Pelodiscus sinensis: one gene and its partners. The protein of the gene in region 3 interacts with the protein of the main gene of each other region in a pairwise test. Links are inferred from orthologs where the notes say so. Each region holds a gene or a part of one and is shown on either strand. Other genes may lie near its edges. The genes, in order: ZBTB9, TRIM41, EHHADH and SSNA1.

Region 1 (7,614 bases), on a different chromosome or scaffold from region 3:
GTGCCATGGACCTCCGCCTCCCCTTGAAGGAAATGGGGACAATACCTCTTCCCCCTCCCTATTTCTCAGGAGTGGTCTCGCCCTGGCAGCCATTTTATTGCATTGTCCCTCCTTGCCTGGGGGGCAGGGAAACCCCTCCAGCCTGCCCACGGGGGCAGCTGAAGGGCTCATTTTGGTTGGTTGGCCGCATTCCTGGAGGTTTCGTCACATGACATAATCTTTAATACCCGGAGACTCCAGGACAAGCCTGGAGGGTTGGAAACTCAAGGGGCAGCAGAGACTGGTGGCAGCTGGAGGCAAAGCTCTCCCCATTTTGCTGTAGGGGGGGGCTCTGTGCCTGGCAGGAGGGATTCTCAGGGGGCGAGGGCTCATAGCTCTTTGTTCCAGTATTTCTCTCTTCCCTCCAGCATGGGATTTGGGTCAGGGTCGAAGACTTGTGGAATAGCAAGTACTAGCCCTGCCCCACCCATCACATACCATCCTCGCTCCCCACAGCCCTGCCCTGGCCGAGGGAAAGACCACCCCTTCTGTCCTTCCTGGCTAGGCTCAGGCCTAAGGTTTGCCATGGCCTCTGCCAGTCCTGCCTGGTGTCAGCATTGGGGATCTCTCCCCATCTCTCAGCTGGTCCCAGTGGTGGGATCCCACCTTCCTCTCCCACTGCTCTCTGCGCTCTCTATACTCTCATAAAGGGCTTTGCCTGCTCAGCCCCATCCCCGTGTCCTGCACCCCCCCTCTGTCTTTGGAAATGATGATTATCTAGACATTGATTGGTTTTTTTCTGGGGAGGGCAATGAGGGAGGGGCCTTTTCTTTCTTTCTTTCTTTCTTTCCTTCTCCCTGTTCTCAGACCCCCTGTCCCCCCAGGCTGGGGTTGTTGGGGGGGAAACAACCAACAAAATAATGAAGAAGCCATTTCTCTGCCCACCCGCCAGCGCGTGCAGGGCACCGGGGCGGGGGAGCGACCCCCCCCACCTGAGCACGGAGAACTGGAGGGGACTCTTGTGGCTATTCACCGTTGTGCTATGGTCTGAGCTGCTGGGTGAATGTGGTCAGCGCAGTGATTGTACTGGGTGTTTCTTTGCTGTTTGTGTCTCTATTTCAGACTCGCCATTAACCAGCCCTCCCTTGCCCCCTCCTGCACCTCAGTCCGTATTTCTTTTGTAAGGACTCTCCCTGTCCTCCCCCACCCCCAGACAGCGGCGACTCGGGTGGCGCCATGATATTTATACGTATTAATTATTATTATTATATAAAAGTTTGTACATATGTGAAATTTCCTCTACCCTTCCCTACCTCCCCTGGCCACATCGCCCCCAGGCTGGGCGCTGTAATTACCACTGGATTTGTACTGTATATAGACCTCTCTGGACCTCATTCTCTGTACATATCCCCTTGGGAAGGGAGTTCAGGTCACGAGCGCCCGCCCTGACGCTGTGTCGGACCACCTGGGCGTCTCGCTCTCCGTTTTATTTTATGTCGATTTTATTTTTTCTCATTTTTCTGGAGTGTGTGGTGCCAACGGAGAAACGTTTAATAAACAGCGATTGTTCTTTTATGCCACCTTGGCCTGAAGCCCCAGGGCATGGCCCGTGGGGGCCAGGGAGGCTCCTGCGTGGGGCCACAGGGCACCGTGTGTGGGGGTTCTGCGTGGGGCCCAGGAGGCTCCTGTGTGGGGCGCAGGGTAGTGTGTGTGGGGGTCCCACGTGGGGCCCAGGGCACAGCCCGTGGGGGCGGGAAGGCTCCTGCATGGGGCCACAGGGCACCGTGTGTGGGGGTCCCATGTGGGGCCCTGGAGGCTCCTGCGAGGGGCCACAAGACATCGTGTGTGGAGGTCCCATGTGGGGCCACAGGGCACCATGTGTGGGGGTCCTGTGTGGGGCCCTGGAGGCTTCTGTGGGGCGCAGGGCAGCGTGTGGGAGGGTTCCGCGTGGGGCCCAGGGCACGGCCCGTGGGGGCGGGGAGGCTCCTGCGTGGGGGTCCCGCGTGGGGCCCAGGGCACGGCCCGTGGGGGCGGGGAGGCTCCTGCGTGGGGGTCCCGCGTGGGGCCCAGGGCACGGCCCGTGGGGGCGGGGAGGCTCCTGCGTGGGGGTCCCGCGTGGGGCCCAGGGCACGGCCCGTGGGGGCGGGGAGGCTCCTGCGTGGGGGTCCCGCGTGGGGCCCAGGGCACGGCCCGTCGGGGCGGGGAGGCTCCTGCGTGGGGGTCCCGCGTGGGGCCCAGGGCACGGCCCGTGGGGGCGGGGAGGCTCCTGCGTGGGGGTCCCGCGTGGGGCCCAGGGCACGGCCCGTCGGGGCGGGGAGGCTCCTGCGTGGGGCCACAGGGCACCGTGTGTGGGGGTCCCGTGTGGGGCCCTGGAGGCTTCTGTGGGGCGCAGGGCAGCGTGTGGGAGGGTCCCGCGTGGGGCCCAGGGCACGGCCCGTCGGGGCGGGAAGGCTCCTGCGTGGGGCCACAGGGCACTGTGTGTGGGGGTCCCGTGTGGGGCCCTGGAGGCTTCTGTGGGGCGCAGGGCAGCGTGTGGGAGGGTTCCGCGTGGGGCCCAGGGCACGGCCCGTCGGGGCGGGGAGGCTCCTGCGTGGGGGTCCCGCGTGGGGCCCAGGGCACGGCCCGTCGGGGCGGGGAGGCTCCTGCGTGGGGGTCCCGCGTGGGGCCCAGGGCACGGCCCGTGCGGGCGGGGAGGCTCCTGCGTGGGGGTTCCGCGTGGGGCCCAGGGCACGGCCCGTGGGGGCGGGGAGGCTCCTGCGTGGGGGTCCCGCGTGGGGCCCAGGGCACGGCCCGTCGGGGCGGGGAGGCTCCTGCGTGGGGGTCCCGCGTGGGGCCCAGGGCACGGCCCGTGGGGGCGGGGAGGCTCCTGCGTGGGGGTTCCGCGTGGGGCCCAGGGCACGGCCCGTGGGGGCGGGGAGGCTCCTGCGTGGGGGTTCCGCGTGGGGCCCAGGGCACGGCCCGTGGGGGCGGGGAGGCTCCTGCGTGGGGGTCCCGCGTGGGGCGCCCGGCAAGTGGCGGGGACGCGGGGGGGCGGGGTTGGGTCGCAACGTCGCCCAGCCCTGCCAGTCAAGCACAGGACGCTCCCGTGGCCAATTGGAATGCGAAACGGAAGGGGGCGGGAAGACAGATCTGTCCACCAATCGGACGCGGGCTGCGGGGCGCTGTCCTCGGATTGGCTGACTGGAGATCAGGCGCCCCGGCTCCCAGGGGGTTGTGCTAGCCGGCGTGGGCGTGTCCCGGGGGCTGAGCGCTGGTTGGCCCGCCTGTGGGACAGGCTCGGGGCGGCGCGTGGCCACGGTCCCGCCAGCGATTGGCTACGTGCTGCAGGGCGGGGGCAGCGGTCGCTTTTGGTTGGTTGATGGCCCCCCGGTGGCGTGTCCTTCCCTGGTTGCCCGGGGGACCAGGGGCAGAGGGCGGGGTTTCCTGGGCTCCATTTCGGTCGGCCCGGGCGGAGGGGGCGGGGTTTCCCGGGGCTCGAGCTCGCTGAGCCCGGGCCGCTGGGACTCGCCCTGCTGCGCGCGGCCCGCAGGTGAGCCCTGGATCCGGCCCGCGCGCGGGGGATGGGCGGGGCGCTGTGGGGCAGGACAGGGCGGGTTGCTGGGGATGGGCGGGGCACTGGGGGGCAGGGCAGGGGGCGCTGTGGATGGGCGGGGCGCTGTGGGGCAGGGCAGGGGGCACTGGGGATGGGCGGGGGCGCTGTGGGGCAGGGCAGGGGGTGCTGGGGATGGGCGGGGCACTGGGGGACAGGGCAGGGGGCACTGGGGATGGGCGGGGCACTGGGGGACAGGGTAGGGGGCACTGGGGATGGGCGGGGCACTGGGGGACAGGGTAGGGGGCACTGGGGATGGGCGGGGTGCTGTGGGGCAGGGCGGGGGCGCTGTGGGGTAGGGGGTGCTGTGGATGGGCGGGGTGCTGTGGGGCGGGGTGCTGTGGATGGGCGGGGGCGCTGTGGGGCAGGGCAGGGGGCGCTGGGGATGGGCGGGGTGCTGTGGGGCAGGACAGGGCGGATTGCTGGGGATGGGCGGGGCGCTGCGGGGCAGGGCAGGGGGCACTGCGGGGATGGGCGAGTTGCTGGGGATGGGCGGGGCACTGGGGGACAGGGCAGGGGGCACTGGGGATGGGTGGGGGCGCTGGGGATGGGCGGGGCACTGGGGGGGCAGGGGGCACTGGGGATGGGCGGGGCACTGGGGGACAGGGCAGGGGGTACTGGGGATGGGCGGGGCGCTGTAGGGCAGGGCCGGGAAGGGGGCACTGGGGCTGGGCTGGGTGGGGGCAGAGGTGGGAGCAGTTTCCAAGAGGTGCTGCCATGGGGTAGCTGCTGTATGCTGGGGGGTACAGGTTCCTACTTCCAGGAGCCTGGGCTGTGAAGTCCCTCATTCTCCCTCTGTCCAAATCCCTGGGATCCCTGGCGGGGGTGGGAGGGCTGTAGTCCTGGGAACACAACTTCTACACCAGTCTCCCCTCCAGTGGGGCTGGCCCTGCACCTGCCTCGCTGTTGTGGGAATGGGAGTTCTCTTACCACAAGGGGTAGTGAACATTTCCCTCTCTCCCAGGGGCAGCAGCATCGCAGGGGGGGTTCCCTTTACTCCCTGTCTCTGCCATTGCAGGTGCCCGCCCTGGGCAGGCGGTGCCATGGAGCCCGAGACCCGCAGCATCCAGATCGAGTTCCCCCATTACGCGGCTGTGCTGCTGGAATCTCTCAACAAGCACCGCTTGGAGGGCAAGTTCTGCGACATTTCCATCCACGTGCAGGGCCGGGTCTTCCAGGCTCACAAGAGTGTCCTGGCCGCCTCCTCGCCCTACTTCCATGACAAGCTACTCCTCAATGACACCAACTGCATCGTGCTGCCCAGCGTCATCGAGCCTGACGCCTTCGAGAACTTACTGCAGCTCATCTACTCCGGCCGCCTCAAGCTCCTGATGGAAGCGCTGCCCAGCCACCTGCTGGTGGCTAGTGGACTGCAGATGTGGCAGGTGGTGGACCAGTGCTCGGAGATCCTGAAGGAGCTGGAGGGGGGCCCCTGCCGGCCCTGGTCCAGCAGGGCAAGTGAGAACCAGTCCCCCAGTAGCAGCAATTATTTTGCTGTGAAGGATGATGGAGAGCCGGTGGGTGGAAGCTCAGAGGGGCCTGGCCATGGCGGGGTATCGTCAGGCCGGGCAGCACCCGGCTGCCCTGACAATGAGGTGATGAAGATCCGGGTGTCCCAGGAGGAGGAAGAGGAGGAGGAGGAGGAGGAGGAGGAGCACGAGCACCAGGCCCGGATTTTTAGTGGCTCTGTGGACAAGGCAGTGAAGATTGTCCTGGAGGAAGATGGAGAGGTTGGTGGCAGAGGCGGCTCCAAAGGGCCATCTTCTGGGGAGCTGGACGGCCCCTTTCATGCCCCCCGCGATCACCCCAAGATCTTCTACATCAAACAGGAGCGCTTTGACCCAGATGAGGCTGCAGGGGCTGCGCTGGGAGGAGGCCTGAGTGCAGCCGGGGAGGCCAGCTTTCTCAAGTCATTGGCACAGGAGCGGGCATTGGCCATGGCTGAGGTGCGGGGTCTGTGCCAAGCAGACTTCCAGCCAAGCAGTGAAGTCAGCTACATAATCCCTGCTGCAACCACAGGTGCCGCCTCCTCCATCCCCACCCCTGGCTTCACCATTAAGGCCCAGCCCCTCTCCTCAGATGAGGCCAGCTTCCCCCAGAGCTCCTGGAAGCCAGTGGACCTACATGGCAACGAGATCATTGCCCACGCGGTACATGGCCAGGTGGTGCACGCACCTGTCAAAATTGTGGCAGCCCCTGATGGGAAGAAGTTTGGTTGTCTGTGCGGCAAGCGCTTTGCTGTCAAGCCCAAGCGAGACCGGCACATCATGCTGACCTTCAGCCTGCGCCCCTTCGGCTGCTCTGTCTGCAACAAGAAGTTCAAGCTGAAGCACCATCTGACAGAGCACATGAAGACCCATGATGGGAACCTGTACTCCTGCGAGGACTGTGGGCGCAAGTTCCGTGTGCAGAACTGCTTCCTCAAACACAAGGAATTGTGCAAAGGCCAGGGCTGGGCCACTGCTTGCTGGACCTACAAATAAACCTTGGATGGGGGCTGCAGGGAGGACTCCTACCACCCTTCTTGAGGCTGGTTTGAGCCCCTGAGCAGCTCAGAACCCTGCTCCATGGCCCGGTGGACACCAAAGTATGAAGGGCAGCTGGGCAGGCCAAGGGATTTGGGCTCTTGTGCTGCTCCATGGTGTGGCATTTGTTACAGACCTTGCCCTGGTGTAAGGTGGAGGAACTTGGGGCAGGAGGCAGGAGCATGGGGCTGATGGGAACCTCAAGGAAAGGGATTAAATCTGCCCTGCTGTGGGCACTTTGGGCCAGCGACAATAGGGCAGGTGAGAGAGGAGCGCTGGTGCAGCAGATTGCTTAATCGCAGACCCTGATGGCAGCAGTGGCAGGTTGGGCCTGTGAAAACCACAGTCCCGAGCTGCCCTCCTGGGAGTCTGACTTCTGGGCAATGTCCCAGCCAAGGCTGAGTCCCTCATGCCTGCTCCAGCGGCGGGTGGTGGGGGGCGACCTGCCCTTTTCTGGGAGCACTCCTCTGGAACCTGGTCTCTGACACTTTGAGGCCATGTGCCCAACCTGGGGTATTCCAACCCCCTGCCACAGGAGACTCAATAAAAGAGATCTGTGCCTCCCCCCGCCCCCAGCCTTGGACTCATCCTCTGCAGCCTCCTGCATCCCTCCCTGGCAGGACAGTGACTGGCCTTGTCAAAGTCAGGCTGGCTTTTCAACAGTGCTCTCAAAATGATTGAGAGGCACAAACCAGAGCTCACCGCTGAATCCAGTACTGTGGTGGGGGCATGGGCAGGATAGGGGAAAGCTTCAAGGAGATGATGTGGCCAGCTCAGCTGAATGGGATGGAACTAGGTCTGGAAGGGAGGCTTTTGTCTTTGTGGCTCCCACTACCTCCCTACTCTCCCTCAAACAAGGCCCAGCGTGAGCTCCCCTTTATGCTGGAGCAGCTGAGCCATTCCACTGTGCTGGGCTGCAGGTCCCAGGCCTGGGGCCCAAGATTCTGCAGTGAGCCCCAGCATCTGGCCAGCTTGGGTTGGGACCTGGCTCATCCTTTTGGGCAGTGACTGGTGGGAGGGTGCTTTGAGCTGGAGTGAATGGGTCTCTGTGCTGGCTGGAGCACAAAGCAGGGAGCAGTGTGCCATGTTCTGTAGAGCCAAAGTCCCTGAGTAGTTCACACCAAGACTCATGTGGGGGTGGGCTTGCCAGCCTCTCTGCAGTCTCCTTAGCCTGCTTTCTGGCTTCAGCAGCCTCTGCCTTTCTTGGCCCTGTCATGGGGGTATCTCTTAGTGCCTTTGTTTTATTTGACCTCTTTTTTCCTATCAGTTCCCTGCTGTAGTTCATGCCCCTTCCCACAAGGCATCATGAGCTGGGGGTGGGGGTGTGTGTGTGTGTGTGTGTGTGTGTGTGTGTGTGATGTTGAGTCAAACAGGGCAAGCCAGGCCATTGTTTATAACTATAGGCACCTCCCTATAGGCATCTGCTATTGGAGCAGCCTGGGTGGGTCAGAACATGTTTCTGATTGGCCAGTGCCAGATACTTCAGAGGGAATGAACAGAATAAACAACTTAAGGGCCATC
Region 2 (7,642 bases), on a different chromosome or scaffold from region 3:
CCACGCAGGCGCTTTGAGATCCCTCCCTGCCTGGCGTCAGGCGCCGGCCACGCACACAGGAAAAGCTGGCGAGAGAAATAAAATACACGCGCTCGCCGCTCCCAGTCGCCTCTAGTTACAGGACTATTCGGCCTGGCTCCTGCCAACCTTCGAGGGGGAAATTTTACCCCGCCCTCCGGGCCCTGATTTTCAGGGCCACGCTGATCGGAATTTGTGATTCGAGCTACGAGGGGAGTTCTCCTTGGAGGCACCAGCCACGGACCGGGGTGCTGCCGTGCTGGGCGCTGGACACACAGCCCCCCAGAGAGCCCAGCACGGATCCAGAATTTCGATCCCTCCGTGGAGGTGCCCCGGAATGAGCACGGAGAAGGCCGGCTCACCCTCGTGACGCCGGGCAACAGAGCCGTAAGCCGGCGGCGTCCCTCTAAAGCCTTCTGCGATGCTCGGGGCCTGGCGTCTTCCTGCCTGTCTCAGGTTTGCTGCCGGCTGTCCCCGGGTCTAATGCCTGGATGTGCGCTCAGGGGACCCTCTGTGCCCAGCAGCGCTGGCTCTGGACACGCTGTGATGTCCACTCTGGCTGGGCATTCACGGATTGCTGGGTCGGGCTGTGGGTGACCCCTACCGCCCCGTGCTGCTCTGCAGAGACTGTGTGTGTGTCCGTGTGCACCGCCCAGCGGGGGGTGGTCCCTGAGGGCAGGCACGAAGGCCATGGCCTAGCTCAGTGGTCCCCAACCTTTGGGGGCTGCTGCGCGCCAGGGGGCGGGGCTGGCCCAGATAGTTCAGCGGGCGCACATAAATGCCTCGGTGGGCCTAGCCATTGCTCACCCGGCACGGGGAAGGAGTTTGATCAAAGGAAGGGGTGTGGCTACTTGGGGGGAGTGGGTGAGCAGTGGCGGAGAGAGGGGCTGTCTCGAACAGACTGAGTCGAGTCCGGGGGGGTTCAGGGGCCTGTGTACCCCTGCCCCCCAAGAGGTCGAAGGCTGCCTGCCCTGACTCTTAGGTCCGCATCGAGTCTGCGCTGTGCTGTATCTCGGAAGAGCAGCAAAACCTTCTACTCCACTCCCATAGCTCCACCATCTGTCCCAGCCGACCCTCCACGTTGTCACCCGCCAGCCAACGAACCCCCCTTGGCCTCCCGGAGCCAACGCGGTACCTCCAGCCACGCGCTGGCCTTACCGGACCCACTGGGGCCCCGGCGCCTCCCCCGGGCACGCCAACGGCTCCCAGACACCCCACCAGGGACGTTAAAAAGCGTGTAACTCGTCAGTCGTGAAGTCGACAAAAGGTTTGTCACCTCCGCCACAAGTCCTCAGTCCCAGCATGCGCGGGGTCCCAGGAGAGCGGTAGCTCCCGGGACCCAGCGCAAGGCAGCCTGCCAACGTACGTCCTGGCGGAAGGGATGCGCGTTAGGCAGGTTACATATCGGTTCACTGAATAGTCGAGCAGCCTCATGAATTCTTCTCAGTTACTTAACCATTCGATAGTCCCCGTGGGCAGGGCCGGCAGACGCCCGAGGAGCCCCCCACACTCCGCGCTGCTGCCGCTGTATCAGAGGCAGCAGCGGGGGTGCCAGGCGGGAGCTGGTCTCAGACCCAGCTGCTCTCGTGGACCGACTGCCTGTCTGAGCCGCAGAGGGGGCAGGTCCCAGACCTGTCCCAAGCCAGGACTGAGCCGGGCTGCTGGCCAGCCTGCTAAAAGTGTACCGGCCGGGGGAAAGAGGGAGGAACGCACGTCGTCTGCAGCATTAACCGATACGCTTCGGTTACGGGTTAATCGACTACGCCATTACATCATAACGCGTGTAGCCGATAGCACGGACGTGTTCGCATCCGCTTCTCGGTTAACCGGCTGCACTTCTACAGCCGCGCCCGGCCCAGCGGACTCCGGCGACCCTTCCCCACCGGCGTACCTTGTAATCCTGCACCACCTCCTCCAGCGGCACCACGCTGTGGTGCTTGTGGCTCCGGGACTCCCGGCACACCACGCAGATGGCCTGCTCGTCCACCTCGCAGAAGAGCTTGAGGGGCTCTTGGTGTTTCTCGCACAGGGCTCGTCTCTCCAGCGCCCCCGGCGCCGCGGCCCCCTCGGGCCTCGCTGAGGTCCCCACAGCAGCCGGGGACGCGAGCCGCTGCGGGAGCGGGTGCATCTGTCGGATGATGTGCACCATGTTGGCCAGCTGGAGGTTGGGCCGGAAGTTCCTCTGGGAGAAGGTCTTGCGGCACTGGGGGCAGGTGAAGGGGGGGAGCGGTCGAGGCCGGGGCGCCACGGCGGCCGGGGGCGTGGGCGTCAGCAGCTCCTCCTCCTCCTCCTCCTCCTCCAGGTCCTCCTCCTCCTCCATCACCTCCTCGGCGTAGTCGTCCTCCTCGAAGTACAGCTCGTCGCCCGCCTCGTCCTCCCACATGTCGTCCTCCCCCGGGTCGTCCCAGAAGTCGGCTTCCTCGTCCTCCTCGCTCCACATGTCATCCTCGTCCTCGGCCCCTTCCTCCTCCTCCTCCTCCTCCTCATCGTTGTAATCGGCCTGGTCGTCCAGCTCGTCCTCCGCGCCGCCCAGCCCCGCCGCCTCGGCCGCGTAGCCGGCCCGGCCCTCGCCCGCCTCCTCGCCCCCCCAGAGCTGGGTGATGCAGACGCGGCAGAAGTTGTGGCCGCAGCCGATGGAGACGGGGTCGGTGAAGTAGTCCAGGCAGATGGCGCAGACGGCCTCCTCCTGCAGCGTCTCCACCGCGCTGGGCTGCCCGCACGGCATCCCCCCGGGGCCGCCTTCCCCGGCCACCGCCGCCATGGGCCCCCCCCGCCCTCAGCTTCCCCCTGAGAGCCTCAGCCCCCCACTTCACCCGGGGGTCCTCAGCCCCCCTGCTTCCTCCTGGGGGTCCCCCGACCCTCCTGCTTCCTCCTGGGGGTCCTCAGCCCCCCTGCTTCCTCCTGGGGGTCCCCCGACCTTCCTGCTTCCTCCTGGGGGTCCTCAGCCCCCCTGCTTTCTCCTGGGGGTCCCTCGACCCTCCTGCTTCCCCCTGGGGGTCCCCCAACCCTCCTACTTCCTCCTGGGGGTCCTCAGCCCCCCTGCTTTCTCCTGGGGGTCCCCCGACCTTCCTGCTTCCTCCTGGGGGTCCTCAGCCCCCCTGCTTCCTCCTGGGGGTCCCCCGACCTTCCTGCTTCCTCCTGGGGGTCCTCAGCCCCCCTGCTTCCTTCTGGGGGTCCTCAGCCCCCCTGCTTTCTCCTGGGGGTCCTCAGCCCCCCTGCTTTCTCCTGGGGGTCCCTCGACCCTCCTGCTTCCCCCTGGGGGTCCCCCGACCCTCCTACTTCCTCCTGGGGGTCCTCAGCCCCCCTGCTTCCTCCTGGGGGTCCCCCGACCTTCCTGCTTCCTCCTGGGGGTCCTCAGCCCCCCTGCTTCCTCCTGGGGGTCCCCCGACCTTCCTGCTTCCTCCTGGGGGTCCTCAGCCCCCCTGCTTCCTTCTGGGGGTCCTCAGCCCCCCTGCTTTCTCCTGGGGGTCCTCAGCCCCCCTACTTCCTCCTGGGGGTCCTCAGCCCCCCTGCTTCCTCCTGGGGGTCCCCCGACCTTCCTGCTTCCTCCTGGGGGTCCTCAGCCCCCCTGCTTCCTCCTGGGGGTCCTCAGCCCCCCTGCTTTCTCCTGGGGGTCCTCAGCCCCCCTACTTCCTCCTGGGGGTCCTCAGCCCCCCTGCTTCCTCCTGGGGGTCCCCCGACCCCTCAGCCCCTCCCCCACTAGGGGCCCTGCCCGGCTGCCCGAGGACGCTCTACCCGCGCGCTCTATGGTGGCTGTCAAGGCAAGCGGGGGAAGGGGGGGATAAGAAGAGGCAGCGGGAGCCTTATTTCCGTTTCCGCCGGAAGTGGCGGCGGGACCTTTTTACCGCTCCGCCACGGGCGCGCGGCGGGGCATGTGACCGGAAGTGGCTCCCCCCCCCCCCGGCGCGCGTTCCGCCGCTCTCCGGCAGGGAGGGGGGGGGGAAGGATGAGGACAGCGCGTCATGTGACCGGAACTGCCGGCCCCACGCTCCATTCTTTCCCCCCCGCCCGTTGGGAGGTTCTGCGCGCGGCGCTCCGGCTCGGATCCGCCCCGCCTCCCCGTGTGACGTCACACGCCCGGCCTCCCTCTCGCCCCTGGAGTTCCAGGGGGCGGGGCCTACTTCTGGAGGGGGCGGGACCGCTCCTAAGCTCCGCCCCCAGTGGGGTGGGAGGTGCTGAGGAGGGGGGGACGCGCTCTGGCTCCGCCTCCTTCTCGCCCCTAAGTTCCAAGGGGGCGGGGCCGATGACGCTGAAGGGGGCGGGGCCGCCTCTAAGCCCCGCCCCCGGTGGGGTAGAAGACGCTGGGGGGGGGGCGCTCTGGCTCTGGCCTCTTTCTCACCCATAAATTCCAAAGGGGCGGGGCCTACGTTTGTGGGGGCGGGGCCGCCCTAAGCCCCGCCCCCAGTGGGGTGGGAGGTGCTGAGGGGGGGCACGTTGCGGAGGGAGGGTGTGTGGGGGGGGAGTGGCCACCCAGGAGAGAGCTGGAGCCCCCCCCAGCCAGCAGTGCCTCGGGGGTGGTGCACATTGGCATGCGCCTTGGTGCACTGCACAAAATTTATTCCACACCGAAAGAAAAAAAATTGCGGAAGGGAGGGGGCCCTGCTGAAGAGGCATTTGTGGAGCCTGCCTGGAGCCGGGGGTGGCGAGCCGGGAGGAGACCCCCTGGGGGAAGCAGCGGTGGGTAGGTAAGAGTGCTCCCGTTAGGGGTGCACAGAGATCTTCCGGGGACCGGCCCCGAGTTTGACCACCGGCTGCTCGGCGCGGTGCCCGGGAAGCCTGTCCCCACGACACGCCTAGCGCCCCGCCCCGCCTAGTGTCCCCGGACGCGCCCGTCCCACCCGCCCGGAGCCGTGGATTTCCCGGAGCAGCGTGCGACCGCGAGGGAACAGCCGGCCCACGGCACGGTAAGAGCGCACGGCGGCGCTTTTGTGGCTCGCCGCGGGAGCGAGGCGTTTTTAAGTGCGGCGGGGCCCACCCCAATTTCTAGCACGAGGCTCTCCAGTCCTCTGCTCGCGAGGCCCCTCGGTTCCTGTAGTCGAAGGCCTGGTGCAGGCAGGGCTGTCCCGGGAGGGCCGCCCCGCAAGGCCTAACTTGGAGGTGTCCGGAAAAAACTCCCCGAAACAACTCTGAGGTCCAGCCATGCTGAATGAACCATGTGGGATCCTTGGAGGCACTGGAGGCTGAGATCCATAAAAAGCCAGGGCACGAGGGGCCGTGTTTAACCCCTTTTCACGGGGGCGGACGTATTCCTTCCATCCCAGGTGGTTCCCTCACTGCTGGGAGCCCTCGCCAGCCGGCCTTCCCTGGACGCTGAGCCCTCGGCCCAGGTACGTTTGCGGGAAAAACATTGGGTGAGCAAAAAACCCCCCCCCCCAAAAAAGGCCACGAGGACCAAAGTTGTTGAGAAATAAAAACAGCCTAACAACAACCTCACAAAAGAGTTACGGCGCCTTTATATCATCTTGCTTTCCCCATGCCCACCAGAGGCGGAGGGGAAGACTGTCCCAAGCGGCCTTCCGTCCCCGAAAAACAGAAAATACCCGACATTTTACATGTCCGGTATTTTCTGTTTGTTTTACTGGACAGAAGTTGCAAATACTGGACTGTCGGGGGCCAAAACCGGACACATGGCCACCCTGGAGAGCTCCAAATGCCGCCCAACGGATGAGCAGAGCGCCCGCGGTCTGCTGGTGGTGCACATCGCCACCGGCCTCGGTGCACCGCACAAAATTTATTCCACGCGCCAATGGGGGGAAAACGGAAGGGCCCATTTTGAAGCAGTTTCGACAACCTCTCTGGGAGGCAGCCGGCGGAGAGGGGGAGGAAAGAGGGGGGCTGATTTTAACCGGCCACTCTTAGCCCAGGCGCTGGTGGTATCCCCCTGGGGAGACAGAGGTGAGGAACAAGGGGTTTCCTACAGATCCCAGGCCAGACTTTTCCCCCGGGGATGGAAGTTGCTGGATAGGAAGCAAGTCTGGGGTCAGTACAATATAGGGCTGGACATTTGGCAAAGCCCAGACTGGAAAAGGAGACAGGCCTATTTTAGGTGAAATTGCATCAACAGCCCGGCTAGCTCAGTCGGTAGAGCATGAGACTCTTAATCTCAGGGTCGTGGGTTCGAGCCCCACGTTGGGCGGCTGAAAATTTTTACCCCAAGTTTTTTATTTTAAACTCTTTTTTCCTCCCTGGCTGTAAAGTTGTGTCTGTTTCCAGGGTCTGGCTGGTCTTGTAAAGGCAGCTAAGTCAAGGGGGGGCTCATGTTCCCCCCCCCCCCCCACTCCAAAGCCAAGTTCTGAGCTGGTCTGTCTGCCTGTCTGCTAAACCCAGACCAGCTGCATTTCCTCAGCAACTCAGGGAACTGGGCTGATTTTTAAAGGGGATTGGTCTGGAGACAGGCCAAGAACTGATGGAGCATTTGAATCACAAGCCAAAAGTCCAGCAGCGAAAGTGAGTCCATGTGGTTTTCCTACCCAGCACCATGGGGGCAAAAAAGGGAGGAATGTTGTTGGTGTTAATTCTTTTTTTTCCTGTGCTTTTCTCAGACATGCCAGGATGTACATTTCAAACACCAGGACCTAGCAAAAGTTTAGCAGTTTATTATTCTTAATTGGATTTACAATCATTTGTTTCCAGCATGATATTGATTAATAGTAATTGCAATTGTAACATGACAGTCAGTATTAATGAACAACAATAATCATTCATAATACATATGCTTGACACAATGGCTCTCACAACTTGGCTAGATTTGCTCCAGGGCTGACTTCAGCCTAACATTGGATACAAGACAAACTTCAAAAACACCAAAAGGTCTGGTAGCACTTTATAGACTAACGTAACATGGAGATGGGATCATGAGCTATCCTGGGCACAGCCCTCTTCTTCAGATGACCAGAGCTTTGAGTTTAGGGTGTGCAGACCCAAAATAAATAGGGGAGAAGCGAGAGGGGGGAAGGAGGAAAAAAAAGGGGGGGGGGAGGAACAAGGAGCAGAAGGTATGAAAATATCTATGTGTCTAGAGTACAGGGATTTTTCGAAAAAAGTGGCCTTTTTTCGAAAAATCTTTACCTGCGTCTAGGCTGCTGCTGCGTTCTTTCGAAAGTCAATCGAAAGAACCCGGCGGTGTTTTCGACCGCAGAAAATCTCATTCTATGAGGAAGAACGCCTTTTTTGAAAGTGCTCTTTCGAAAAAAAGGCTCTAGAGGTAATGCAAACCGGGCTTTTTCGAAAGAGAGCATGCAGACAGCCCGGGTGCTCTCTTTCGAAAAAGCGGCTTGCTTTTTCGATAGTACCAACGGTCGTCTAAAAAAAAAACCCCCACAAATGGTCTGGTAGCACTTTATAGAATAGACTAACAAAACATGTGGATGGTTCGTCTATGAAATGCTACCAGATCACTGATTGTAGTCTAGACGCTTTTTTTCGAAAGAGGCTTTTTTGAAAGTATCCTTCAAAAAAGCCTCTTTAGAAAAAGGCTTCCAGTTTAGACGTAGCCAAAGGGAAAACCAAATAAGCAGAACTAGTAATCTATAAGCACCTAAAGACCAGAGAGTTAAAAGAAGCAGATAAGGATAAAAGAATATACAAGGTTCAGAGAAAAAAGACCCTTTGGTTTATAGGGAGG
Region 3 (7,463 bases):
TGTGTCGATGAAGAAAGGCTTCTTTGTCGGGGCATCGCGTCCAGACTCTCCCGATCTGCCGACAAACAGCTGATCGGCAGATCGGGGCAGCCATTTAAATTTAAATGAAGCCGCGATTATTTTAATCGCGGCTTCATTTCCCTCTTCCGATCTGGCTAATCTACATGCCTCCGTCGAAGGAGGCATGTAGTCTAGACACACCCATTGTTACATATCAGGTGAATGGGATGTCTCTCCTTGCTCTTTGCAAATGTGGTGGGGAGGAGTGGGTTGCATCTGTGATGGGTTAGATCACAGAAGTCCCCTTGAATTTGTCACCACATGTGCTGATCACACCACTGAGCCCCGCCTACCTGCTCTGTGGGGTGCCCTACCAACCTGTGCTACTGGGCCAGAAGCTCTGGTTTCCCCCAGCCAAGGCACAGAGTTGGGCTAACAGCCCCCCAGCAGAGTAACACAGATGCTGATAACAGCTCTGGGAGAGCTCAGCTATAGCGACTTGATGGCATCCAAGAGTACAGCCCTCTAAAGAGACCAAACCCCCAAATAAATCAGTTTTACTCTTTATAAAAGTTTGACACAGAGAAAGCTCAGAGTTGCTCTCTTTATCAAGGAAAGAGAGATGCAGTAGTTGCTCCTTCCACATAACAATTATCTATGCTGGGCCTGATAATAAATACAAATGTTTCATTAAGTATAAAAGGTAGGATTTAAGTGATTGCATGTGAAAACAGATCAAAGCAGATTACTAATCTCAAATAAACAAGACATGCCAGCTAAGCCTAATACACGAGGGCTGTGTCTATATTGGTGTGATCTTGTGCAAAAGCAACTGCAAAACTTGCTGCCTGTCTACACTGGCTGTGAGTTCTTGTGCAAGTACACTGATGTTCTAATGTATTAAATCAGTGCTTCTTGCACAAGAACTCTGATGCTCCCATTCAGGAATAAGCCCTCTTGCGCAACTGTTCTTGCGCAAGAGGCCAGTGTAGACAGGCAACATGAATTTCTTGTGCAAGAAAGCTCTATGGTTAAAATGGCCATCAGAGCTTTCTTGCGCAAGAGAGCATCTACACTGGCATGGATGCTCTTGCGCAAAAGCACATCTCTTGCGCAAATGCACATGCCAGTGTAGATGCTCTCTTCTGGAAGAGTTTTTGCACAAGAATTCTTCTGCAAAAGAGTTCTTGCGCAAGATCATGCCAGTGTAGACGTAGCCTAAAAAATACTGTTACAGATCATATTTCTCACCCTACTCTTTATTTCAGGAAAAATCCTTACAATCAAAGCTGATCTTTTCTCTGGCCTGAGTCTAACAGCTTCTTGTGTATCCTCTTAGGGTGGGGAGGGAGTTTCAAAAGCTAGCTGAAGACCATCATTGATTATTTCCCATCCCTTAAATAGAATTTCCCCAGGGTGAGAAACCTTTGTTCAATTCTCCCCCCTACCCCCCACACGCACACTGTGGAAAATACCAAATTCAAGATGGATTCCAGTATCAAGTGGCATGGTCACATATCTTTGTAAGACCAACCACAATTGGGGATTACAGGAAAAACAAAACCATTCACAGATGAGTACCAAGCCCAAGTTCCTTAAGTACCACTAAAGGCTTTCCCTAGAAGACCTAGATTAATAAAACAGGTTTCCACTTAATATTTCTAACTTCACATTCAAGAATGATTCCTGCCTACAAAGAGAATATACACACTCAGGGGATCACATGCATTTGAATGATATATTACTTGCCATGTTTTGCACAAAGCATATTTGAGTTCTGCATATTCATATTCAAAAACACATTTCCATAAAATATAGGAGTGGAGCATCATAGCATCTCATTGTGTTGTGTCTCTTTGTTATACATACGTGTGTGTCCGCATTTCGCTGCTGTGAGGCTTGGTGGGGAGGACCCCTGCCTCATGCACAGCACAGTGTGGTGTTATTCTATGCTGGTGGTTTCTGTATTTCTTTGCAGGGTGAAATAACCCTCGTGCTCCAAACACTTTCCAAGCAGGCTCTCAGTTGCAGCGTCCCTTTGAATGGCAGCTCTCATGACACACCACATTTGTCTGCCTTGGCCACCTCTCAGGGCTCTGTGCCAGGTGGATGGGGTGTCGCTCAATACGGGGTGGATGTAGCCTCTGTCTCTGCAACTGGAGATGGGGGTGGGGGACCAAGGAGGATGGAACTGGGACTGCTTAGCAAGGCAGCTGGGAGTGCAGAGCAGGCTGGGCCGGGCCAGAGGGGTTACCCTAGGCAGGGAGACGGGGGTGGGGCAGGCTGAGCAGAAAGGGCTGTGCCCACTGGAGTCTGGAATTGGAGGTGCTGTGAGTGGCACCAGTTCCAGATGTACCAGTAGCAATGTGAGTGTGTGTGGCAGGGTTGTACCAATTGCGCTGTGAGGGGGCGATTGTACCAGTGGCGATGTGAGGGGAGGGTGGCCAGGTGTGCGGTTTTGAACCAGACAGTCCAGTATCTGAGCTTTCTGTTTGGGAAACAGATTGAGAAAATAGAAATCGCCCCTATTTTCTAGATAAGATGTCATGTAGATTGTGACCTAATGTCAAGTGTGCCCCTATTTTAGTTGAAAACATCTGGCAACCCTAGGGGAGAGATTGCACCAGTGGCGATGTGAGGGGGGGGGATTGTACCAGTGGCGATGTGAGGGGGGGATTGTACCAGGCGCGCTGTGAGCTGGGGGGGATTATACCAGTGGGATGTGGGGGGGATAGATTGTACCAGGTGCGCTGTGAGCTGGGGAGAGATTGTACCAGTGGCGATGTGAGGGGGGGGATTGTACCAGGCGCTCTGTGAACTGGGGGGGATTATACCAGTGGGATGTGGGGGGGGATAGATTGTACCAGGTGCACTGTGAGCTGGGGAGATTGTACCAGTGGTGATGTGAAGGGAGGATGGGGATGGGATTGTACCAGTGGCGATGTGAGGGGGGGATCGTACCAGGTGCGCTGTGAGCCGGGGGGTGGGTTGTACCAGTGGCGATGTGAAGAGGGGATGGGGATGGGATTGTACCAGTGGCGATGTGAAAAGGGGGATGGGGATGGGATTGTACCAGTGGCGATGTGAAGGGGGGGATGGGGATGGGATTGTACCAGTGGCGATGTGAAGAGGGGGATGGGGATGGGATTGTACCAGTGGCGATGTGAAGGGGGGATGGGGTAGGATTGTACCAGTGGCGATGTGAGCTGGGGGATGGGGTGGGATTGTACCAGTGGCGATGTGAAGGGGGGGGATGGGGATGGGATTGTACCAGTGGTGATGTGAAGAGGGGTATGGGGATGGGATTGTACCAGTGGCGATGTGAAGGGGGATGCGGTGGGATTGTACCAGTGGCGATGTGAGCTGGGGGATGGGGTGGGATTGTACCAGTGGCGATGTGAAGGGGGGGGATGGGGATGGGATTGTACCAGTGGTGATGTGAAGAGGGGGATGGGGATGGGATTGTACCAGTGGCGATGTGAAGGGGGGATGGGGTAGGATTGTACCAGTGGCGATGTGAGCTGGGGGATGGGGATGGGATTGTACCAGTGGCGATGTGAAGGGGGATGGGGTGGGATTGTACCAGTGGCGATGTGAAGGGGGATGCGGTGGGATTGTACCAGTGGCGATGTGAGCTGGGGGATGGGGTGGGATTGTACCAGTGGCGATGTGAAGGGGGGGGATGGGGATGGGATTGTACCAGTGGTGATGTGAAGAGGGGGATGGGGATGGGATTGTACCAGTGGCGATGTGAAGGGGGGATGGGGTAGGATTGTACCAGTGGCGATGTGAGCTGGGGGATGGGGATGGGATTGTACCAGTGGCGATGTGAAGGGGGATGGGGTGGGATTGTACCAGTGGCGATGTGAAGGGGGGGATGGGGTGGGATTGTACCAGTGGCGATGTGAAGGGGGGGATGGGGATGGGATTGTACCAGTGGCGATGTGAAGGGGGGGATGGGGTGGGATTGTACCAGTGGCGATGTGAAGGGGGGGATGGGGATGGGATTGTACCAGTGGCGATGTGAAGGGGGGGATGGGGTGGGATTGTACCAGTGGCGATGTGAGGGGGGGATCGTACCAGGTGCGCTGTGAGCTGGGGTGGGATTGTACCAGTGGCGGTGGGAGCGGGGGGTAGGAAGGCTGGTTGTACCAGTGGCGGAGAGCGGGGGGGGGGGGTAGGAAGGCTGGTTGTACCAATGGCGGAGAGCGGGGGGGGGTTGGAAGGCTGGTTGTACCAGTGGCGGTGGGAGCGGGGGGTAGGAAGGCTGGTTGTACCAGTGGCGGAGAGCGGGGGGGGGGGGTAGGAAGGCTGGTTGTACCAGTGGCGGAGAGCGGGGGGGGGGGTAGGAAGGCTGGTTGTACCAATGGCGGAGAGCGGGGGGGGGGGCTGTACACTGTGGCCGGGCGTGGCGTGCGGCGGGTCTGTGTGGGGTCTGTCCCGGAACGCGGGGGGCGGGGTCACCACGGGCTGGGCGGGGCTTTGCCCGGCCGCTCGGGGAAGGCCCCGCCCCGGGCAGAGTCCGGCGCTGGCTCGCGGCGGGGATGGCGGCGCGGTGCACGCGCGGCGCCGCGGCCGTGGCGCTGATCCGCCTGAGCCACCCGCCGCTCAACACGCTGAGGTACCGCCGCGCCCCTCCCCCCGCGCGGGGACCTGTTCTTGGGGCTGTTCCGGGCCCGGCGCCCCGCGTGTCCGCGGGCGGGGCAGGCTGGGGCCCCGCTCCCCTCAGGGGCAGTTGCGCGGGTGTCCCTGGGGCGGAGCCTGCCTGCAGCACAGAGTCATTCCCACGGCTCCTTTCTCCCTCAGCATAGGGGCGCTTGTCTGTGCAACTCGGGCTCTTTGCGACAAAGGGGCTTTGCTCTTCCTCTTCGCTAAGCTTTAGGAGAGTTGGTCAGAAGATAGGAATGTCTGCAAAATACCTTACAGTTCTGGGGGGGGGGGGATTGTCCCTACTAGGATGAGAGATCAGAAACACACATTATTTTGCTGGAAACACATTCAAGGAAGATTTTATTTTGGGGGGACCACAATGGAATTTCCCTGCTGCCTGCTTCACAGCTCTTTTCACTTTTACTTCATTGAAAAGAGCGTTTCTGGCTGGCTGCCCGAGAGGCAGAGAGCTGTCATGCTCAGTCTCTGGCCCTCCTCCAACCCTGGAGCACAGGCTCTGAGCACCTTTGCTCTCTGCCTGTTCAACTCCAAGCTCCCAGGCTTTACTCCCCGTCTCCCTGCAGACCAGGGAGACGGGGAGCAGCTTTTCTTGCCCCGGAGGACGGGGGCGGCGGACCGTGGCGCATCTGGGCGTCCCGCGGCTCCTGTCCTCCGGGGCGAGAAAAGCCCCATACGTAACTGCGGATCCGACATAAGTCGGATCCGCGTAACTCGGGGACTGCCCATATTGATAAAATGGAGAGAGTGCAGAAAAGAGCTACAGAAAGGATTTGAGCACTGAGAAAATGCCTTACAGCAAGACAGAAAGAGCTTAATCTGTTTGGTTCCTCAGAAAGAAGATTAAGTGGTGACTTGATAACTGTGTACAGGTACTGTTTTAGGGAGAAAATACCAGGTAGTAAAGGGCTCTTTAATCCTGCAGAGAAAGGCAGAACAAGAAGCAGTGGCTAGAAGTTGAAACCTGACACATTCAAATGGGAGATAAGGCACACTTTTTAAATAGTGAGGATGAGATGATTAATCACTAGAACAAACTACTCTGGGAAGTGGTGGATTCTTTACCACTTGACACCTTCAAATCAAGACTGGAAGGTACGCAATAGCAAAGCACAAGTCATTGGCCTTGGCTGGGTAATAGCATGAAATATGATATATGATCTATTCTAGACAAAATTATTCTTATTTGTATTACCTTAGTGTTTAAGAACTTACGTCATCTTTGTGGTCTTCAGTTATGCATGTCTGAATTCACCCATGCACCTCATTAGGTACACAGTCATCCAAGGCATTGGTTCCAGCCCGTGAAACTCAAATAAATTAGCAAAAACATCAAGGAGACCTGTGGCACCTTAAAGACTGACAGACTTATTTGAGCATAAACTTTCATGGTAAAAACCACTTTGTCAGATGCATCTGATGAAGTGGTTTTTACCCACAAATGCTTATGCCTGAATAAATCTGTCGGTCTTTAAGGTGACACAGCACTCCTCATTGTTTTTGCTCACCTTCGATTTTTCCTTTTTCGTGGATGTTAAGTAATATGCAGAAGGAAAACCTTTCTGCTATGAGCCTCCGAAAGTCTGAGGAGCGCCCATCTTGTGAACTCTAGGCTATGTCTACACTAGCGCGATCTTGCGCCAGAGATATGCAAAGGAGGCTAAGTGTGGAATATCGCTGCACCTCATTTGCATATCTAATGAGCCATCATTTTTGCAGAAGAGGCTCTTGCGCCAGAAGGAGCGTCTACACTGCCCCTTCTTGCGCAAGAAAAACCCTCTCGAGCAATGCCACTACGCTGATTATTTTCAGGAATAACGGCATTGTGCAAGAGGGTCTTTCTTGCGCAAGAAGGGGCAGTGTAGACGCTCCTTCTGGTGCAAGAGCCTCTTCCACAAAAATGGCGGCTCATTAGATATGCAAATGAGGCTCGGTGATATTCCACGCTTAGCCTCATTTGCATATCTCTGGCGCAAAATCGTGCCAGTGTAGACATAGCCTAAGGGTATGTCTACACAGCTGGGCTAAAGTTGAAATAAGCTGTGCAGCTTGAGCTACATCAATTGCATAGCTTAAGTCAAAATAGCTTATTTTGGTTTTTGGTGCTGTCTATGCAGCAGGAAGTCTGAGAAAGAGCACTCTTCCTCCGATTTCCCTTACTCCTCTTAAAACAAGGGTTACAGGAATCAGAGTAAGAAGTCCTCAAGCTTGACATTATTTTGACGTTCTGTCGAAATAAGTGCTTGTAACGTAGATGCAAACTATGTTATTTCAGAATAATGTTGGTTATTCTGAAATAACACTGCTGTGTAGATGTACCCCAAGTGTTTGAAAGAGAAACACTTTGTGGCACTTTAAAAAAAACAAAACAAAAAAAACCCCAAGAGGCAATTGAAGGAAGTTCACACACACAAAGCTTACCTAACTTTGTTGGAATTGCTGTTTATAAAATACAGGACAGGACCATTGTGATTAAGAAAACCCTCTGCATAAAAGGAATAGGAATAGAAAGCTAAGGTCATCTTTATAAGTATTCTCTCACCTTACGGGGCATACATTTAAAGACACAAATATAAATCGCCATTAAAATAGTTAACCAGTTAAATGATTACAATTATGCAGGGTAACTGATTAACCTTTGGAGGGCTAGTGCCCTCCAGGCAGGGGCCAGCCTGCTGGCCAGCTCACCAGAAGCATGGAGCTCTTTGAGCCCCATTGGCCCACCACCGGCTGGGGGCTGGTCAGGCTGGCTCCATTGCACCTTGGCTGGGGGTGGGGTATTGGGAGAGGGACAG
Region 4 (7,943 bases), on a different chromosome or scaffold from region 3:
ATGCAGACCGGGGGGGGGGGGGGGAGAGGGGGGAGGAACCAAGAATGCAGACCGGGGGGGGAGAGGGGGGAGGAACCAAGAATGAAGGGGGGGGGGGGGAGAGCAGTGACTGATAAGGATTGAGGGAGGCACAGTAGACAAGCAACTGAACATGAACTCCCAGCACAATCCTGGGGCAAAGAGAGTTAGTGTGACCCTGAGATGTGGAAGCACAGGAGGTGCGAGCAGGGCAACGATTCTACCTCCCGCACAGCACTGGCGAGGCCAATATTAGAAGAGCACATCCAGTTCTGGGGCCCACATTTTTAAAGAGCTGCTGAACAGCTGGAGAGGATGGAGAAGAACCACAACAATGATTGCAGGGCTGGAGAACACGCCTGGTGGTGGGAGACTTGAGAGCACAATCTGTTGAATTTACCAAAGATGCCAGGTGACGTTGTACCGTTTGGGGGAGAAAATGGCAGCTATGAACGGTCTCTCTAAAGCAGAAAAAGGCAGAACAAGAACCAGTGGTGGGAAGCTCCAGCCAGACTGTGACGGCGCGTTGGGGGTTCCCCGTCTCCTGCACCCCGAAATGGCACAAACAGACTGCACCAGCCAGTGGAATTGAGGGTGGTTTATTGCTCCTCCAGCACAGCGCAGCACAGATGTAATCTGGTTACAGGAACTGGGCTAGGATGCCTCAGGCCCCCTTGAGATGGGGGAGACTGGGCCCCTAAACTCCAGCCCCTTCCCCTAGGCTCTCCTCCATGCCCTCCGACAGCCAGCAACCAACTCACTAACTTCCAGCCCTGCCCCCCAGCCAAGGCAGCATTCCACCTTCCTTTGTTCCTCTCCATGGGGGGTGTCTGGCCACTGGTTTGCATAGTGACTCATCCTGTTTTGCTGGGTCGTGGTCCCCACGACAGCCAGTGGGGGTTACCCCAGAGCCAGCAGCATAGAAACCAGCCAGGTACCCCCACTACGTCACACAGACAAATTCAAATCAGATGCTAAGCTAAATTTTTTTAATAAGGTGATTTACCATTGGCACAACCAACCAAGGCAAGTGGTGAAGTCTTCATCTCTTGAGGTCTTCAGATCAAGACTGGCTGCTTTTCTAGAAATCCTTCAGCCATACACCAATTATTGGGCTCAGTACATAGATTCATCGAGTCAAAAGACCAAGGGCAATTATCTACTGTGACCTCCAGCATAACACAGGCCATAGGACTTCCCTGTATTAATGCTGTAATTAACACAAGGGAAACAGTGAAATGGGGGAGGAGGGGCGCCTAGCGGGCCAGGTTGGGACTTTTCCAAACAGGAGTTTCATTTTGATATCATCCCTTCCACAGGGAAGTGCTGTGTCCCCCCTCCGAGCCTGCTGTAGGCCTTACCTCCTGGAACTCAGTCAGGAAAGAGCGCTCATACTCGCCCCTGCATCTGCGCTCCATCCTCTCCTCTAGCATCCTGTGCAGGATGGTGGTGACAGCATCGGCGCTCACTCTCTCCAGCAAGTTCAGCCTGTGGCTGCAGACAAACACCGGCCTCATTTAGAGCACACAGAAAGGGAAGCATGAAACTAAGTGTGAAGTAACCGGAGACGGGGCCTGTACCGCACATGGGCTAGCAGGGGTCACATTAGGTACTGGCTTCCTTCTCCACAGAGCCAGTAGCCCAGACAAACATCGTTACAACTCTGCCAGATGTCAACCCGGTACTTCGGTGAGCCAATACCCCGGTGAGCTGTCTAAATCTCTAGCTGGACAACAGTGCCACAGACTTATGGGGATGGGGTTTGCTCAGTAAGCAGGGTGGTTATTCGGAAAGGGATTTTATCCACTAGGAGAGGAAAAAAAACAGAAAACAGGGCAACTGCAGCCAAATGTTAACATCTGACACGAATGGAAAGCAAATGCGACAATAGAACACTCTCGGATTCTAAACAACAGACTACAGGATCGCGTGATATAGCCCAAGTCATATCAAATATCAAACTTCCAACGTAAAAAAACCTTCCAAACCAGGTTGCAAGGTGAAACTGCTGAACTGGAATTTATATGCAAATTTCATACCATCAGCATACCATAATCTCTCATTACAATCAGTAGTGTGGAGGCAGGAAAAGGGAGTAAGGGAGTTTGTGTGCAGCCATCTTGGTCTTGTTAGCAAGAGTCTGGGCAGAGGATCGGTGGGTAGGAGGGGTGCAGGCTCTTGGAGGGAGTTTGGATGCGGGAGGGGTTCAGGGTGCATGCTCTGGGAGGGAATGTGGATGAGGCCCGGATGCAGGCTCTGGCCTGGGGTGGGGGAGGAAGCCGCAGGAGGAGGCAGGCTCTGGGAGGCAGTTTGGAGCTTGGGGGCAGCACCAGGGTAAAGGGTGCCATGTTTACCTGGGAGGCACCACCCTCTGGCAGCAGCTCCTAGTGCACGGTGCTGCTCCCACTGCTCTTCCCGCCCCACCTGCCACTCACATGCCTTCCGCCCTGCGCATCCTTTGGTTCCTCCTGCTGCCCCTAGGTGAATTAACACACCCTGGAAGCCCCCATCAGCAGTGCAGCGGGGCTAGAGAGGCTTCCTGCCGCTCACTCTGCGTGGCTGCCAGCACCTCCGAGGGGCCTGGGAGGGTGGGGGGAGAAGAGTGGGTCTCTGTGCGCTGCTTGCAGTGGGGGCCCCCCCAAGGCATTTAAAATCACCCAGGGACAGCAGGCGGGGCTGGGGGGCAAGCATAGGGTGGCGGAACTCAGGGAGACCTGAGCCAGCAAACGCGAGGGGGAGGGGGGGAGCGCAGGCCCCTACAACTCGCCACCTTGCTGTAAGATACGCACAGGATTTCACTGAGCTGCTGGAACTGCTCCATGGCTGTGGGACACCAGCACTGCTCTCTCTTACTGCTGCAGCCCAGGCACTGCCGGCCGTCTCCTCCGTCCTCCGGATCGCTCTCTGGCTCGTTCTCACTCATGCTGCTCTCGCACGCCTTCACTCCGCCTTCACCCTTCTTCCCCTGGCGCATGTAAATCTTGAAGGTGCGGCTGTAGAACTGCTGGATCATCTCCTGGAACGTCTCGGTGGTGGTGAAGAAAAGGATGGCTTTGAACATGGTGTAGACTTTCTCTCGCAGCACCTGGGAGCCTGTTCCAAGGAGCAAGCCCATTCTGGTCCATTTTTCCAGAAGGTCCAAGCTGTTCAGATAAGGGTCGAGGCGGCACTTGAGCAGACAAAAGGCATCCAGGAGAAGCAAGGAGCACTGTGGCTCTTCCGCCGTGTTTTCATACTGGCCAATACAATTCCAGAATTCAGGAGCTATATTGGCCTGCAAGTCTGTCTGTAAAACTTCAGTGAACCATTCTTCCAGGACAGAGTGCAAGTCATAGCGCTGCAGCACTTCCACGGCCGCCTGCAAGTCACTGTCCTTCAGCAGCCCTGCTGAACCTGATCTGGGGCCTGCCTAAAGAGACACACCAAGTTAAACACAAGCCTGGGCACCTACAAATCACTGAGGCTGGGCTTTGCAAATCCACCTCAAAGAACAGCCAGCAGGCTATGGATGGAGCATGTCCCCCACTGGTATTTGGGTCACGTTTCAGGCGGCTGTAGGTTACCAACCACCTGCTGTTGGTGGAGAGGGTGGGGTCTCAATCCTGCTGATAGGAAGGTGTTCACATCATGAGCACCCACACCGTGACTGGCATCAACTGCTCCCCTTGCTGACAGCGGCCATGGGAGCTGTCAGGTGAGCAGCCTATTTATTGAAGAGCTCAAAGCCACAATGCCAGCCATTCAGTGCACAGAAGTTTCCATAATTTGCTCCCTCTAAACCAGCGAAAATACAGTGGCTCGGAACAGGCAGATTCAATTTGGAAACAATATGCATTTTCCTAGAAAATGTTAAGTGAATGAGCTTCCAAATTAGAACATTCTAAGAATAGGGGTGGCCCTGAATCCCTGCGGGGATCCCAAGGCTCCTCTCTTGCGACCATCTTTGACTTGGCAAGAACAAAAGCTAAGGCAATTCCCACACACCAGGGTGAGAATGCACTTAAAGGTGCGGGCAGACATCCATTCCTCTGGTTTGCGACCTTGCAAGAGCAATTGGATAGAAACAACATTGAGACCCCCAGGAAGTTCAGCCTTAAGTCTGCACTCAGAAGAGGTGCAAAGGCACCACCTTAAATCTGCTGCCCAAGTGATGCCCTAACAAAACTAGAAAATCGAGCTGCCTTATCTGCAACCAACACCCTCTCCGGGGCCCACCCGAACTGAACTGTCCTACGCACTTAGGGGTTCTCAGGACAAAAACGGGGCGGGGGGGTTGGGGGAAATGGCTGGGATCCGGGGTGGGGGGCACGGCTAGGCCTGTCTGCAGGGTGGGGGGCTGTCTGGGGCTGATTAGGAGGCCTGGAGGGAGGCTCCATCTGGGGGGGGGCTAAGGGGGCCTGCATGGGGGGGGCTGTGTGGGAGGAGGGGCTGCATGGGGGGGCCGTTTGGGGGGGCTGCATGGGGGGGCCGTGTGGGAGGAGGGGCTGCATAGGGGGTCCGTCAGGGGGAGAGACGGGGGTCTACATGGGGGGGCCGTGTGGGGAGGTCATCGGGGGGGAGACAGGGGGGTCCGAGGGGGGCTGCATGGGGGGTCCGTCGGGGGGGGAGACAGGGGTCTACATGGGGGAGCCGTCTGGGCGGGTATACATGGGGGGGGCCGTTTTGGGGGGCTGCATGGGGGGGGCCGTTTTGGGGGGGGCCGTCGGGGGGCGAGACGGGGGGGTCTACATGGGGGGTCCGAGGGGGGGCCTGCGGGGGGGCCGCTCTCACTCACCAGCCCCAGCGCGGCGGGCGGCACCAGGCCGGTGCTCAGCGCGTGCCAGGCCGCCGACAGCTCCGGGCCCGGCCCCGCCGCCATCCGGCCCGCGCGCCAGGGGCACGTGAGGCGGGGGCGGGGCGAGCGGGCGGGGGCGGAGCCGGGCGAGGGGCGGGGCGAGCGGGGCGGTTGGGGCGGGGCGGGGCGCGCGCCGGGCCGGGTTCGGGCCGCCATGACTCAGCAGGGGGCGGCGCTGCAGAGCTACAACAACGAGCTGGTCAAGTGTGAGCGGGGGGGGACCCGCGGGGGGGAGGGTGCGGGGGGGGCCGGCGGCCAGCCCCCCCCCCCAGCCCCGTGCGCTGCTCCCCGCCCTCTGTGCGCTGCGCCCCCCATGCACCCTGGCCCCCCCCGTCTGTTCTGTGCGCCGCCCCCATGCACCCCGCGCCCCCGTCTGCTCTGTGCGCCGCCCTCATGCACCCTGCCCCCCCGTGCGCCGCCCTCATGCACCCTGCCCCCCCGTGCGCTGCCCTCATGCACCCTGCCCCCCCGTGCGCCGCCCCCATGCACCCCCCGTCTGCTCTGTGCGCTGCCCCCATGCACCCTGCCCCCCCGTGCGCTGCCCTCATGCACCCTGCCCCCCCGTGCGCCGCCCCCATGCACCCCCCGTCTGCTCTGTGCGCCGCCCCCATGCAACCTGCCCCCCCGTGCGCCGCCCCCATGCACCCCCCGTCTGCTCTGTGCGCTGCCCTCCATGCACCCTGCCCCCCCGTGCGCCGCCCCCATGCACCCCGCGCCCCCCGTCTGCTCTGTGCGCCGCCCCCATGCACCCCGCGCCCCCCGTCTGCTCTGTGCGCCGCCCCCATGCACCCCGCGCCCCCCGTCTGCTCTGTGCGCCGCCCCCATGCACCCTGCCCCCCCGTGCGCCGCCCCCATGCACCCCCCGTCTGCTCTGTGCGCTGCCCTCCATGCACCCTGCCCCCCCGTGCGCCGCCCCCATGCACCCCGCGCCCCCCGTCTGCTCTGTGCGCTGCCCCCATGCACCCTGCCCCCCCGTGCGCCGCCCCCCTGCACCCTGCCCCCCCCGTGCGCCGCCCCCCATGCACCCCGCGCCCCCCGTCTGCTCTGTGCGCCGCCCCCATGCACCCCGCGCCCCCCGTCTGCTCTGTGCGCCGCCCCATGCACCCTGCCCCCCCGTGCGCCGCCCCCATGCACCCCGCGTCTGCTCTGTGCGCTGCCCCCATGCACCCTGCCCCCCCGTGCGCTGCCCTCATGCACCCTGCCCCCCCGTGCGCCGCCCCCATGCACCCCCCGTCTGCTCTGTGCGCCGCCCTCATGCACCCTGCCCCCCCGTGCGCCGCCCCCATGCACCCCCCGTCTGCTCTGTGCGCTGCCCCCATGCACCCTGCCCCCCCGTGCGCTGCCCTCATGCACCCTGCCCCCCCGTGCGCCGCCCCCATGCACCCCCCGTCTGCTCTGTGCGCTGCCCCCATGCACCCTGCCCCCCCGTGCGCTGCCCTCATGCACCCTGCCCCCCAGTGCGCCGCCCCCATGCACCCCCCGTCTGCTCTGTGCGCCGCCCCCATGCACCCTGCCCCCCCGTGCGCCGCCCCCATGCACCCCCCGTCTGCTCTGTGCGCCGCCCCCATGCACCCCCCGTCTGCTCTGTGCGCCGCCCCCATGCAACCTGCCCCCCCGTGCGCCGCCCCCATGCACCCCCCGTCTGCTCTGTGCGCTGCCCTCCATGCACCCTGCCCCCCCGTGCGCCGCCCCCATGCACCCCGCGCCCCCCGTCTGCTCTGTGCGCCGCCCCCATGCACCCCGCGCCCCCCGTCTGCTCTGTGCGCCGCCCCCATGCACCCCGCGCCCCCCGTCTGCTCTGTGCGCCGCCCCCATGCACCCTGCCCCCCCGTGCGCCGCCCCCATGCACCCCCCGTCTGCTCTGTGCGCTGCCCTCCATGCACCCTGCCCCCCCGTGCGCCGCCCCCATGCACCCCGCGCCCCCCGTCTGCTCTGTGCGCTGCCCCCATGCACCCTGCCCCCCCGTGCGCCGCCCCCCTGCACCCTGCCCCCCCCGTGCGCCGCCCCCCATGCACCCCGCGCCCCCCGTCTGCTCTGTGCGCCGCCCCCATGCACCCCGCGCCCCCCGTCTGCTCTGTGCGCCGCCCCATGCACCCTGCCCCCCCGTGCGCCGCCCCCATGCACCCCGCGTCTGCTCTGTGCGCTGCCCTCCATGCACCCTGCCCCCCCGTGCGCCGCCCCCATGCACCCCGCGCCCCCCGTCTGCTCTGTGCGCTGCCCCCATGCACCCTGCCCCCCCAGTGCGCCGCCCCCCATGCACCCCGCGCCCCCCGTCTGCTCTGTGCGCCGCCCCCATGCACCCTGCCCCCCCGTGCGCCGCCCCCATGCACCCCCCGTCTGCTCTGTGCGCCGCCCCCATGCACCCTGCCCCCCCGTGCGCCGCCCCCATGCACCCCCCGTCTGCTCTGTGCGCTGCCCTCCATGCACCCTGCCCCCCCGTGCGCCGCCCCCATGCACCCCGCGCCCCCCGTCTGCTCTGTGGGCTGCCCCCATGCACCCTGCCCCCCCGTGCGCCGCCCCCATGCACCCCGCGCCCCCCGTCTGCTCTGTGCGCTGCCCCCATGCACCCTGCCCCCCCGTGCGCCGCCCCCATGCACCCCCCGTCTGCTCTGTGCGCTGCCCTCCATGCACCCTGCCCCCCCGTGCGCCGCCCCCATGCACCCCGCGCCCCCCGTCTGCTCTGTGCGCTGCCCCCATGCACCCTGCCCCCCCGTGCGCCGCCCCCATGCACCCTGCCCCCCCGTCTGCTCTGTACGCTGCCCCCCATGCACCCTGCCCCCCCGTGCGCTGCCCCCCATGCACCCTACCCCCCGTCTGCTCTGTGCGCTGCCCCCATGCACCCTACCCCCCCGTGCGCTGCCCCCCATGCACCCTGCCCCCCATCTGCTCTGTGCGCTGCCCCCCATGCACCCCGCGCCTGCTCTGTGCGCTGCCCCCCATGCACCTGCCCCCCGTGCGCTGCCCCCCATGCACCCTACCCCCCCGTGCGCTGCCCCCATGCACCCCGCGCCTCCCGCCTGCTCTGTGCGCTGCCCCCCATGCACCTGCCCCCCGTGCGCTGTCCCCCATGCACCCTGCACCCCCCATGCGC

Evidence for each region.
Region 1: the proteins of EHHADH (region 3) and ZBTB9 interact in binary tests that used the Homo sapiens proteins (3 or more experiments, as listed by UniProt). The two-hybrid records come from large-scale screens. The link is inferred for Pelodiscus sinensis from reciprocal best matches to the Homo sapiens genes EHHADH and ZBTB9.
Region 2: the proteins of EHHADH (region 3) and TRIM41 interact in binary tests that used the Homo sapiens proteins (3 or more experiments, as listed by UniProt). The two-hybrid records come from large-scale screens. The link is inferred for Pelodiscus sinensis from reciprocal best matches to the Homo sapiens genes EHHADH and TRIM41.
Region 4: the proteins of EHHADH (region 3) and SSNA1 interact in binary tests that used the Homo sapiens proteins (3 or more experiments, as listed by UniProt). The two-hybrid records come from large-scale screens. The link is inferred for Pelodiscus sinensis from reciprocal best matches to the Homo sapiens genes EHHADH and SSNA1.

Annotation. Positions count from the first base shown.
Region 1 is NW_027465855.1:143,115-150,728, forward strand, and holds the start of ZBTB9 (zinc finger and BTB domain-containing protein 9), read left to right. Parts: upstream 1-4,611; coding exon 4,612-6,051; 3' UTR 6,052-7,614. UniProt on the Homo sapiens protein: May be involved in transcriptional regulation.
Region 2 is NC_134742.1:1,231,571-1,239,212, forward strand, and holds the start of TRIM41 (E3 ubiquitin-protein ligase TRIM41), read right to left. Parts: upstream 3,011-7,642; 5' UTR 2,780-3,010; coding exon 1,910-2,779; intron 1-1,909.
Region 3 is NC_134720.1:3,723,130-3,730,592, forward strand, and holds the start of EHHADH (peroxisomal bifunctional enzyme), read left to right. Parts: upstream 1-4,463; 5' UTR 4,464-4,544; coding exon 4,545-4,621; intron 4,622-7,463. UniProt on the Homo sapiens protein: Peroxisomal trifunctional enzyme possessing 2-enoyl-CoA hydratase, 3-hydroxyacyl-CoA dehydrogenase, and delta 3, delta 2-enoyl-CoA isomerase activities. Catalyzes two of the four reactions of the long chain fatty acids peroxisomal beta-oxidation pathway.
Region 4 is NC_134732.1:2,394,990-2,402,932, forward strand, and holds the start of SSNA1 (microtubule nucleation factor SSNA1), read left to right. Parts: upstream 1-4,935; 5' UTR 4,936-5,006; coding exon 5,007-5,058; intron 5,059-7,943. Other genes in the region: ANAPC2 (anaphase-promoting complex subunit 2), read right to left, coding at 1,380-1,512, 2,808-3,427, 4,793-4,876. UniProt on the Homo sapiens protein: Microtubule-binding protein which stabilizes dynamic microtubules by slowing growth and shrinkage at both plus and minus ends and serves as a sensor of microtubule damage, protecting microtubules from the microtubule-severing enzyme SPAST.